2 linked regions of the Caenorhabditis elegans genome follow. The protein of the gene in region 1 interacts with the protein of each later gene in a pairwise test. Each region holds a gene or a part of one and is shown on either strand. Other genes may lie near its edges. The genes, in order: bkip-1 and slo-2.

Region 1 (3,748 bases):
CGCAGGTAGGTAGGCAGGCACGTCCGCCTGTATGTATATGCACCTACCATGGAAGCCCAAAGTAGGTTTACAAATAAAACCTTAATTTTCCGCAAAATCAGTAGGCAGGTATGTAGGCAAACAGTTATTTTTGTTTTTAATTTTCAAATTAAAAATAAAATGAAGTTGTTTGTTCTGAAATATTTTCTTAAAAAAAAACAATTACCGGAAAGTTGAAAATTTTATTTTAAAATTTAAAACTTAATAATTTTCAAACTAATAGTAAGTTTTCGTAGAATTTTTTTCATTTAATTTCTGACCCTTTCCTCTACAGTACCCCATTGTACAACCCCATTAACCCCTTAAAGCTCGTCCTTTTAATCCACCCCATGACAAGGCCAATTTTCTCATAAAGCCTCCAAAAATTCCACCCCGTGGCAGTTTAATTTGTGCTCTGCTGTGCTCAAAATGGCTATACAGCTCATAAAATTTTTTTTTCGGGGGGCCGCCCATATTATTTCCAAGAAAACTTTTTGAAATTTTATGGGCCATCGAAATTTCGAGAGGAAGTTCTGGTTTTTGCACTTTCGAGACAAACTGATCTCTGCGCCAATTCTTTAATCTGTTTTGAAAACAAAATTGAACTTTTCAATTTTTTTTTTATCCGAAAACTGAAAAACTTTAATTCGGATTTTATTTCAAAACTTTTTTTAAAAATTTTATTTCAAAGCTAACCTATCGACCTTGCCTGCCTTCCGTGCCTACTAACCTACCGACCTTGCCTGCCTCTCGTGGCTACTTACCTACCGACTTTACCTGCCATCCGTGCCTACTAACCTACCGACCTTGCCTGCCTCCCGTGCCTACTTACCTACCGACTTTACCTGTCTTCCATGCCTACTTACCTACCGACTTTACCTGCCATCCGTGCCTACTTACCTACCGACCTTGTCTGCCTTCCGTGCCTACTAACCTACCAACCCTGCCTGCCTTCCGTGCCTACTAACCTATCGACCTTGTCTGCCTTCCGTGCCTACTAACCTATCGACCTTGCCTGCCTCCCGTGCCTACTTAACCTATCGACATTTTTTGCGTCAAAAGGCAGTAGGTCGCCTTCAGGCTACCTTCTTTTAAAACATGAGAAGATGTTCCCTCTATTATTTTAAGCTTTTTCAAGCAGCTCCCTAGCCTGAAGCCTTCCAAAAAATCAATTGCTCAGGCATGTGACCGCTTTCAGCTAATCTCATTACCTTCTCGTGTGAAATTTCATTTTTCTTTATGTTTTAGCGTTTTTTGCTGGTTTTATTGGTTTTTATACTACTGATTTTTAAAATTGAAATTTTTCAGAAATTTCAAAAAAAAAATGTTTTAAAAAATTTTCTAAAAATTCTGAAAAATTTTCAAAATTGTTTTTACTGAAAATTTCAAAAAATTTCCCAACAAAAGTGACATCATCATTTCTCAAGCCCATTCATCTCTGAAAAACTTTCAGTTCTCAAATTTCACTTTGCCCTTTTTGTTTCCCATAATGTCTACATTTTTTCAACTTTTAAAACTCAAAGTTCAATTACCCTTTATTTCAAAAAATAATTTCAAGAATTTCCAGAATTATCAGCCAAAAATGTATATAACAACATCGCGAGTGAACAAAATGCAGCCTGGCGAAATTCTGACGTGGATTATGTTCTGTTTCACAGTAGCTTTGGCACTAGGCGTGGTCGCCTATTACAAGTTTTGCAAAAAAAGTATCTTGTAGTTTTTGCAGTTTTTGTAGTGTATAAATAAAAAAATTTCAGATCCTTATGCTCATCATCATTATCAAAGGCCTTTGATTACGAAAAATTAGACAATGATTTCAGTGAGTTTGGAATTTTTTGATAAATTGCCAAATTGTCAAGTTTCAATTGTCAATTGTCAAATGACCAATTTGTTATTTGACAGATGTCAAATTGTCAAATTGTCAAATTGCCAAGTGCCATCTTGTCAATTGTCAAATCTCCAAGTTGTCAATTGCCAATTCGGCAAATTGTCTAATTGTCGTTATGGAAAATTGTCAGATAGCCAAGTATAAAATTGTTAATTGTCAAATTGCCAATTGTCAATTAATGTCAACAATTGTCAATTGTCAATAATTGTCAATTTGCCCATTGTCAATTGTCAAAAAGTAAAATTGGCAAATTGTCAATTGACAAAATTTCGAATTTTCAAATTGTCAATGATTGTCAACCATTGTCTAATTGTAAATTGCCTATTGTCAAAAGGTCAAATTGGCTAGTTGTAAATTGAATAATTTTTGAATTGTCAAATTATCAAATTGTCAATTATTGTCAAATTGTCCATTGTCAATTGTCAAAAAGTAAAATTGGCAAGTTGTCAATGGAAACAATTTTCGAATTGTCAATTGTCAACTGAAAAATTTTCCAATTGTCAAATTGTCATTTATTTGACAGAAAAAAACAATTTTAAAAATTTGCAAATCGAAAAAAAAACTTTTTTCCCTCACAATATTTGATAGATCTAAAAAAAATTTCAATTTTCGAAACCGAACAAATTCTCAAATTTCGAAAATCTCCATCTCTAATGAGCCGGAGCACAAGCTCAGCGGCGTGGTGGTCCACCATGCTAGAGAGCACAAAGAAGCGAGAGACCGCAGACACATCCAGCAGAGCTTCTCCAGCTCTCCACACAAATCGATTATATTTTTGTGCTCACATTTTCTCATTCTGCTTATTGTTTTTTGTTGCTCGGAAATAAATGCCACAAATTGATGGATATTCTCATAGACCTGGAGATGTTGTGGGTTTTTATTTGATTTTTTTGTTGGAAATTTGAAAAAAAAAGGTTTTTGTCGATAATGGATAATTCTGTCAGAATTCAGAAAATATTATGAATTCTTAATTTTTTTGTTAGAAAACAAGTTGAAAAATTAAACAAAATTTCAAATTTAGCGCCAAAATTGTTTTAAAAAAGTCAAAAATTTAAACAAAAAAATTCAACTTTTTTCAGAAATTCCAAGCGGGTGAATGGTACACACTTTACGCATCACTTTTCATGACTATTCTCATAATTGCAGTCGTCTCATATTATACACTTATTGCTCCTGGTAAGCGGTTTTTTAATTAACAAAAATAATGTTTAAATTTAAAAAGCTCCTAAAACCAATAAATTAACAATTTTTCAGCTGAATCAGCATGGAAAGTATCAAAGCGAAAAAAGCAGCAGTGATTGGTATTTGCCTGGTTATTCATCGATCCTCATATTTTATTGATTGATTTTTTGTACATTTTTGGCTTTTCGAATGAAAATTTTAAAATTTGTGGTTTGATAAAAGAAAACGAACAATATTTGAATGAAAAATTATTTTTCTGAACTTTTTTGTCTAGAAATGCGGCAATTGTGACATATGCGACAATTGATGTTCGGCAAATTTTTTTGTCGACAAATGGGCAAATTGGCAATTTCGGCAAAACGGCAAATTTTCGGCTTGCCGATTTGACAGAAACTTTTGGCAAATTGCCGGAATTTTTCAAAGGGATTTTTTATAATACGGAAACACTTGAAACTGCGCCTTTTTGAAATTTTTCCCATTTTTGTAAATGATATTTTCATAGAAATTGCTTACTTTTCAAAATAGATGTAGGAAAATTTATAGGATGAGTACAATTTTGACGATCAAAATCGAGTTTTTGAAATTTCCAAAAAAAATTTGCAAACCTAAAATTTGCTGATAATTTTCAGCAATTGCCAATTTTCCGGCAAATTCGGCTAA
Region 2 (5,295 bases), on another chromosome or scaffold:
GCATGTGCACTCAAATGGCCTCATTCGTAAGGCTTCGAAAGTCTCTCGCGCACGAAAAAAAACAAACTTTGATGTGCGCCGAAACCAACACCAACCAAGCCAAAAAATGTGGTGTCGTTTTTCTCAATTTGTCATTTTCTGTTCATTTTTTTTTGCTTTCTTTTTCTTTATCTTTTCTTGCGCTTTTCTGCCATTTAGAAGCTGTGCACGGAACTGGAAGTCAGCGATATATGTTATCAAGTTTCACTGGGCGACAAATTCAATCTACTTCTATCTCTATCCTTTCCCCATGTAAGCCTTGAGTTCCCTTCTATTGAATTTACACGATGCCTTTTGTGTAAAGCTGATGCCGCCTGCTATTCTGTTGCAAAATTCGGATTAGGATTTTAGTTTATTTCCGTTTCATTTTGCAGCAAATGATCTCCGTTCGGGTCTTCTGAGTGATTTTAAAAAGAATGGAAACACAGAAAAAGGTACTTTTTCATTCTTTCGTTGCGAGTACTTGTCTTGAAATATCTTCATCTTCTCAAGTGTGTAGGACTCGGGTATGCATGACAACTGTGTCTTTTCTTATGAATATAGTTCGTATTTTACTTAGTTTTGTTTATTTCCAACTAAAATGGTGTACGCTTTAAACGACGTGAGTTTCCTATTTATAATTGTTTTAAAAAGCTCATAAAATGTTTCCCATTTTTAAAAGTTATAAACTGATTCAATCTCTGACAGAATAAACAATCAATTTGAACAGTTTGTTGCTGTTTTTTTTTTCAAATAAAATGGTGTCTTCAAACTTCTAAACGGAGTATGTTTTTGTTGTGCTCAGTCGCTGTGTATGGCTTCTGACCTTATAACCATTTTATGTTTGATTGCAGGTTTTACCACCAAAATTGCAAGAAGAGCGAAGGAGGCTGTTAGAGTCAGGTTTGTCATAACAATTTATAATTACAATATTAGTCTTGGTCTGCTATACGAAAATTATCAGTGTTTGTTATGCGATACTAATATTCAAGAGCTTCACAGTAAAACACATCTGTGTCCCCTGTGTGAAAGTAATAACAAACTTCATACTTCTGTTCTAAGAACTGGTGCTCACTGGCTCGAATTAAACAAGGCTTAACCTCGAAATATAAGAATAAGTAGGAAACAGCTCGCGCGTGCTCCATTCATAAATACAAATGAGGTATTGATGACGCTGCCGGACAGATTCCAAAAACAATAAAATCTTTTGGGAGCCTTCCTGAGCTCCTTTTTCTAAATGAAATTTTGGTTTTCATTTCGATAGCTGCAGATAAGTCCATATTTATATCGAGGCAAATATAGTTTTTATTCCGTTTCCACCTCCTCACATTCACTGACTGGCTCTGTTTATTCTGAACTGACTGACAACATTCTCAACTAAAGTTGATCGAATCGTTCTCGTTTTACTCCGTTCAACTTCAGAAATGCCGTATGTTCCGTTTCTGTGTAAGTTATTCACCAAGTAATTGCTACTAACATAGTGTTTTCCTGATAGTCAATAATTGTATTTAATATTTTCAAAAATCATCTTTCTGAAAACTGAAGAATGCAGAGAAAGTTTAAGTTTTCTATTCAAAATTTCTAGTTCAATTTTGTCTTCTAAACTTTTGAATTAGAGGTGAGCTTATCTATCTTCAATCTTCATCAAAAATGAAAATATTTCAATATTAAAAAAAAAAATTACTTGTATGAAATTAACATTTATTTTTAATGGAAAACTTGAAAAAAACAATTCCAAAACTGCCTTAAAATTGTCATATGTGGCAACAACTTTCAACCAGTTTTAAAAATCTTTCTTGGCGCTTTTAATGAAATTAAATTAAACTTTATGAAATTAAATTTTTAAATTTATAAAATATTTTTTTCTGAATACATATATGAAACCGCTTTTTCAGTGCTGAAGAAGCTGTGCTCAAAATTGTTTTGTTTTCGAGAAAATTTCTACCAAAGGCCCTCTGATTGTTACTCAAAACTGACCACTTGAAAAAAATAAATGCAATTTGCAAGGGATAATTAACAAGGAAATACCCAGGTTCTCATGCTTGGAAAGCCACAAAAAAGAAAACAAATGACCGACAGAGGGAAATAGAGACGAAAAACTACTACTTTGAGTCAAGTTCCTTCAACATTTTCCCTTATTGGCCCGTTTATTTTTTTAACATTTTGAAATGTCTGATGACATCCAGTATACTGGTCTACGTAGAATTCCATCAATGTCAAATATGAGTGATCAGGATGTAGATGGTGAGCACACAAACTCTTTCTAATTTTGAATTCTATAAAAAATTATAACAAAAGTTTCAACATCCGTCGTTCCTTTCATCATATTCCTTTTCATGCCCTCAAGCATTATGAGTCTGACTGAAAAACGTGAATTTTGAAACATGTCCGGTCTGAATGAAACTGCGACGACAACACCGCAAATGATGAAATTTTTCTAATTGAGAGTGCTCTTTTCCACTCCGTGAGCACATCCAAATACGCGCATCTTGGTTAATGAAACAAATTGGCTTTGCCATTCTGAAAAAGCGTTTCCTCAATTTATTTCTCGGTTTCTGATTTCACTGTTCAGATGGATGATATCTACGAAGAATATTTTGATAACGATGGTAGGCAAACTTTGGAAAACTAGAAATGTCCAACTTGTTGAGAGAATATAACGAAAAATTTTTATCAGCATATTCCATGTTAATTGGTGATTTTATAGGAAATTCCTTTTTTTTGATTACTGCATAATTAATGATTAACAATTCAGAACTACAGCTAGTGGAATGGCCTATGTAATATAATAATTTTGCTCTCAACATAGTTCTATAGCAGAGTATTATAGCGTCAGAATAAAATGCAATTCTGTATCACAAAAGCGTAAAAGCCGATTCGCTGAAAATACTCGCAAATAAAAAAAAGTGTTATTTCAGTTTGGCATTTCACCGAGACCAATAAATTAAAAATAACTGCTGTAATTTACTTAATCGTGTTTTCACCTTATTCGAAAATTGAAAAACACTCTAAAGCAAAAACTAGCTTTGAATAAGATTGGTTAACATAGCTCGGCAAGCTCAATATTCTGGTATTTGTAGCAGTATAATATTGGCATCGACAAAGCTAGTGAATATATTTATTTAAAAAATGTCTTTTTCACATCATTTATTATTATTTTTCAGACATTGCCCGTACTGATTCGGAGGCAGAAGGCACCGTGTACAAAAACTCATATGCTTCGCTGATGAACGAGCTGCAACCAACAACTTCTTTCGATGATTTCAAGCAGTCGATTACTCAACTCACGGACATTTTCCGTGCAGATCCGTAAGTTTTATCCATTCTGAGAGTTTCATACTTGTCCGTTGAAAATTAGAAAAAATATTTATTTCGAGACAACGCATGTGATTTGAAAATTCTAAATCCTACTGGACGGATTAGACATAAGAGGAGTGAGGCTCAAATTAGAGAAGAAGAAGAAGACTCAGATACATTTCTTTTGCATATGCTCTTTGTATGAACTAGTATCATCTTCTATTCTGTTACATTTTTGCTGTGACAGATGAAAAGAGCAGTAGTGGGGTTAATTGAAATTTCGCTTGACGAATACGGAATTTCTGAGTTTTATTCTTCATTCTAACTATCTTATTGGTCATAAGTTTTGCCTACTTAAAAAGTTGAGAAATTGCAGTTCATAAAAGCTTTCCATATGGCGGAAGGCTCTTCGTTTTAAACACGCTAAGATTCTTTAACTATTAAAACTTCAAGTTCCAAGATAACTTGGAGCAATAAAAAAGAATAAAATATGTGCGAGAATTAAGTTGAAAAGCTGCATTGATTCATTGATTCATTCATTCTTCTGATGCTTCTTCTTCTTTCTTTTTTCTTTCGGGATGACTTCTGCCACAAACACATCTTTTTCTTCATCTTTGTTGTTGCTCGTGCCCCTTGGGGAAGTTTTCATGAATCTAGCGGATTTTACTTTTTTCATATCCATTCTTTCATTATCTGAACATATCTAACGTACTACATTATCTCTTGTGACCCTTCTCGTCTTGTGTGGACATCTAGAATCCATTCATGTTGTCTATTCCATGCCACAATTATTATGCATTCAGGGTGAAGACGGGGTCGAGCATCTAGAGAATTTCCCTTTTTGGAGTTTTTTCCTTTTTTTGTTGAGAAGTTGAAGTACTTTAAAAGAACATTAACTCAGTATTTTGGAAGAAAAATGTAACATTTCTGCACTATTAATATTTATTTTTTTGGTATCAGATTTTAGAACTATCATGTCATCAAATTTAACAAAAAAAAAGTTTTAAAAAGTAACTTTTTAAATGATTTCAGTTGTAAGTCCTGAATACAATTAAACATTTCACAACTTGTGAATGTATCATGTGCCAGAAGTTAACATTTCCAAACGTTAATTGACCTCACACGCATCTGTTCATAGAATCACTTCCTTAAACAACCCAAACGAAGCTTCAATAATTAGCTCAATTTCATGCTCCACTAGTTTTTCTCGGATTTCCAACACACTTGAGATTTTTGTTTTGTTTCTGTTATTTCATTTCAGTATATTTTCTCTAAGGACAACTCTTAAGTATTAAAAAATATATAAAAACAAGCATAGTATTGTTTTTATGTTATTACTTAATTTGTGGAGAAATACTGCTTTCAAAAAACCGGAACTCATGTTCACTTCATAACTTTTTGAAGAGTGGGCTTTTTTCATCTGTTGGGTTGTAAAGTGAAACTTTCAACTTCTTCCTGCAGAGAGAGAGCATATCAATATCCCACTTGTTTTTTGCCCTTTCGAAATCTCATTCGGCTCCTCTCAAAAGTTTCTTTGACTCAATATTTCGGGTATGCAATCATGGTTGGGATGTGCCCTCCGACACCCGAGAGACCAATAAGGAGAAACTAGTGAGTCAAAAAGATGAATACTTTCTTACTTGTTCTCTTTTTTCTCACCCTTATTTTCACTGATTTTTCCTGACGTTTGTTTTTCATAACAAGCTTCCTTTTTAGTACTGTTTTTTTTCCATTTAAAAGTTTTGTTAATATACTAACATGTAGATGCACGATGAGGACAACCAACTCGGTGAGCTCCTTGCAAGACGGAAAGCTTCACCCAATGGGATTTCACCAGCTCCAAGCACCCAGCAGATTCTTGAAGAAGTGTAATAGTTTTTTATGTGTTTACAACCTGTTGACTATCTCTAAATATCTCATGGAACATAGAACAGAGACGCGGGAAAATTTAATGACAAATCATGCGTAGAAGAAAAAAGT

Evidence for each region.
Region 2: the proteins of bkip-1 (region 1) and slo-2 interact in a protein complementation assay, tested with the Caenorhabditis elegans proteins (one study listed by BioGRID).

The regions. Positions count from the first base shown.
Region 1 is NC_003280.10:14,099,663-14,103,410, forward strand, and holds bkip-1 (BK channel Interacting Protein), read left to right. Parts: upstream 1-1,600; coding exon 1,601-1,731; intron 1,732-1,775; coding exon 1,776-1,837; intron 1,838-2,697; exon of another isoform or gene 2,698-2,733; coding exon of another isoform or gene 2,734-2,775; intron 2,776-2,985; coding exon 2,986-3,002; downstream 3,003-3,748.
Region 2 is NC_003284.9:11,401,092-11,406,386, reverse strand, and holds the start of slo-2 (RCK N-terminal domain-containing protein), read left to right. Parts: upstream 1-2,186; coding exon 2,187-2,262; intron 2,263-2,590; coding exon of another isoform or gene 2,591-2,627; intron 2,628-3,182; coding exon 3,183-3,327; intron 3,328-4,825; exon of another isoform or gene 4,826-4,876; coding exon of another isoform or gene 4,877-4,926; intron 4,927-5,079; coding exon of another isoform or gene 5,080-5,183; intron 5,184-5,295.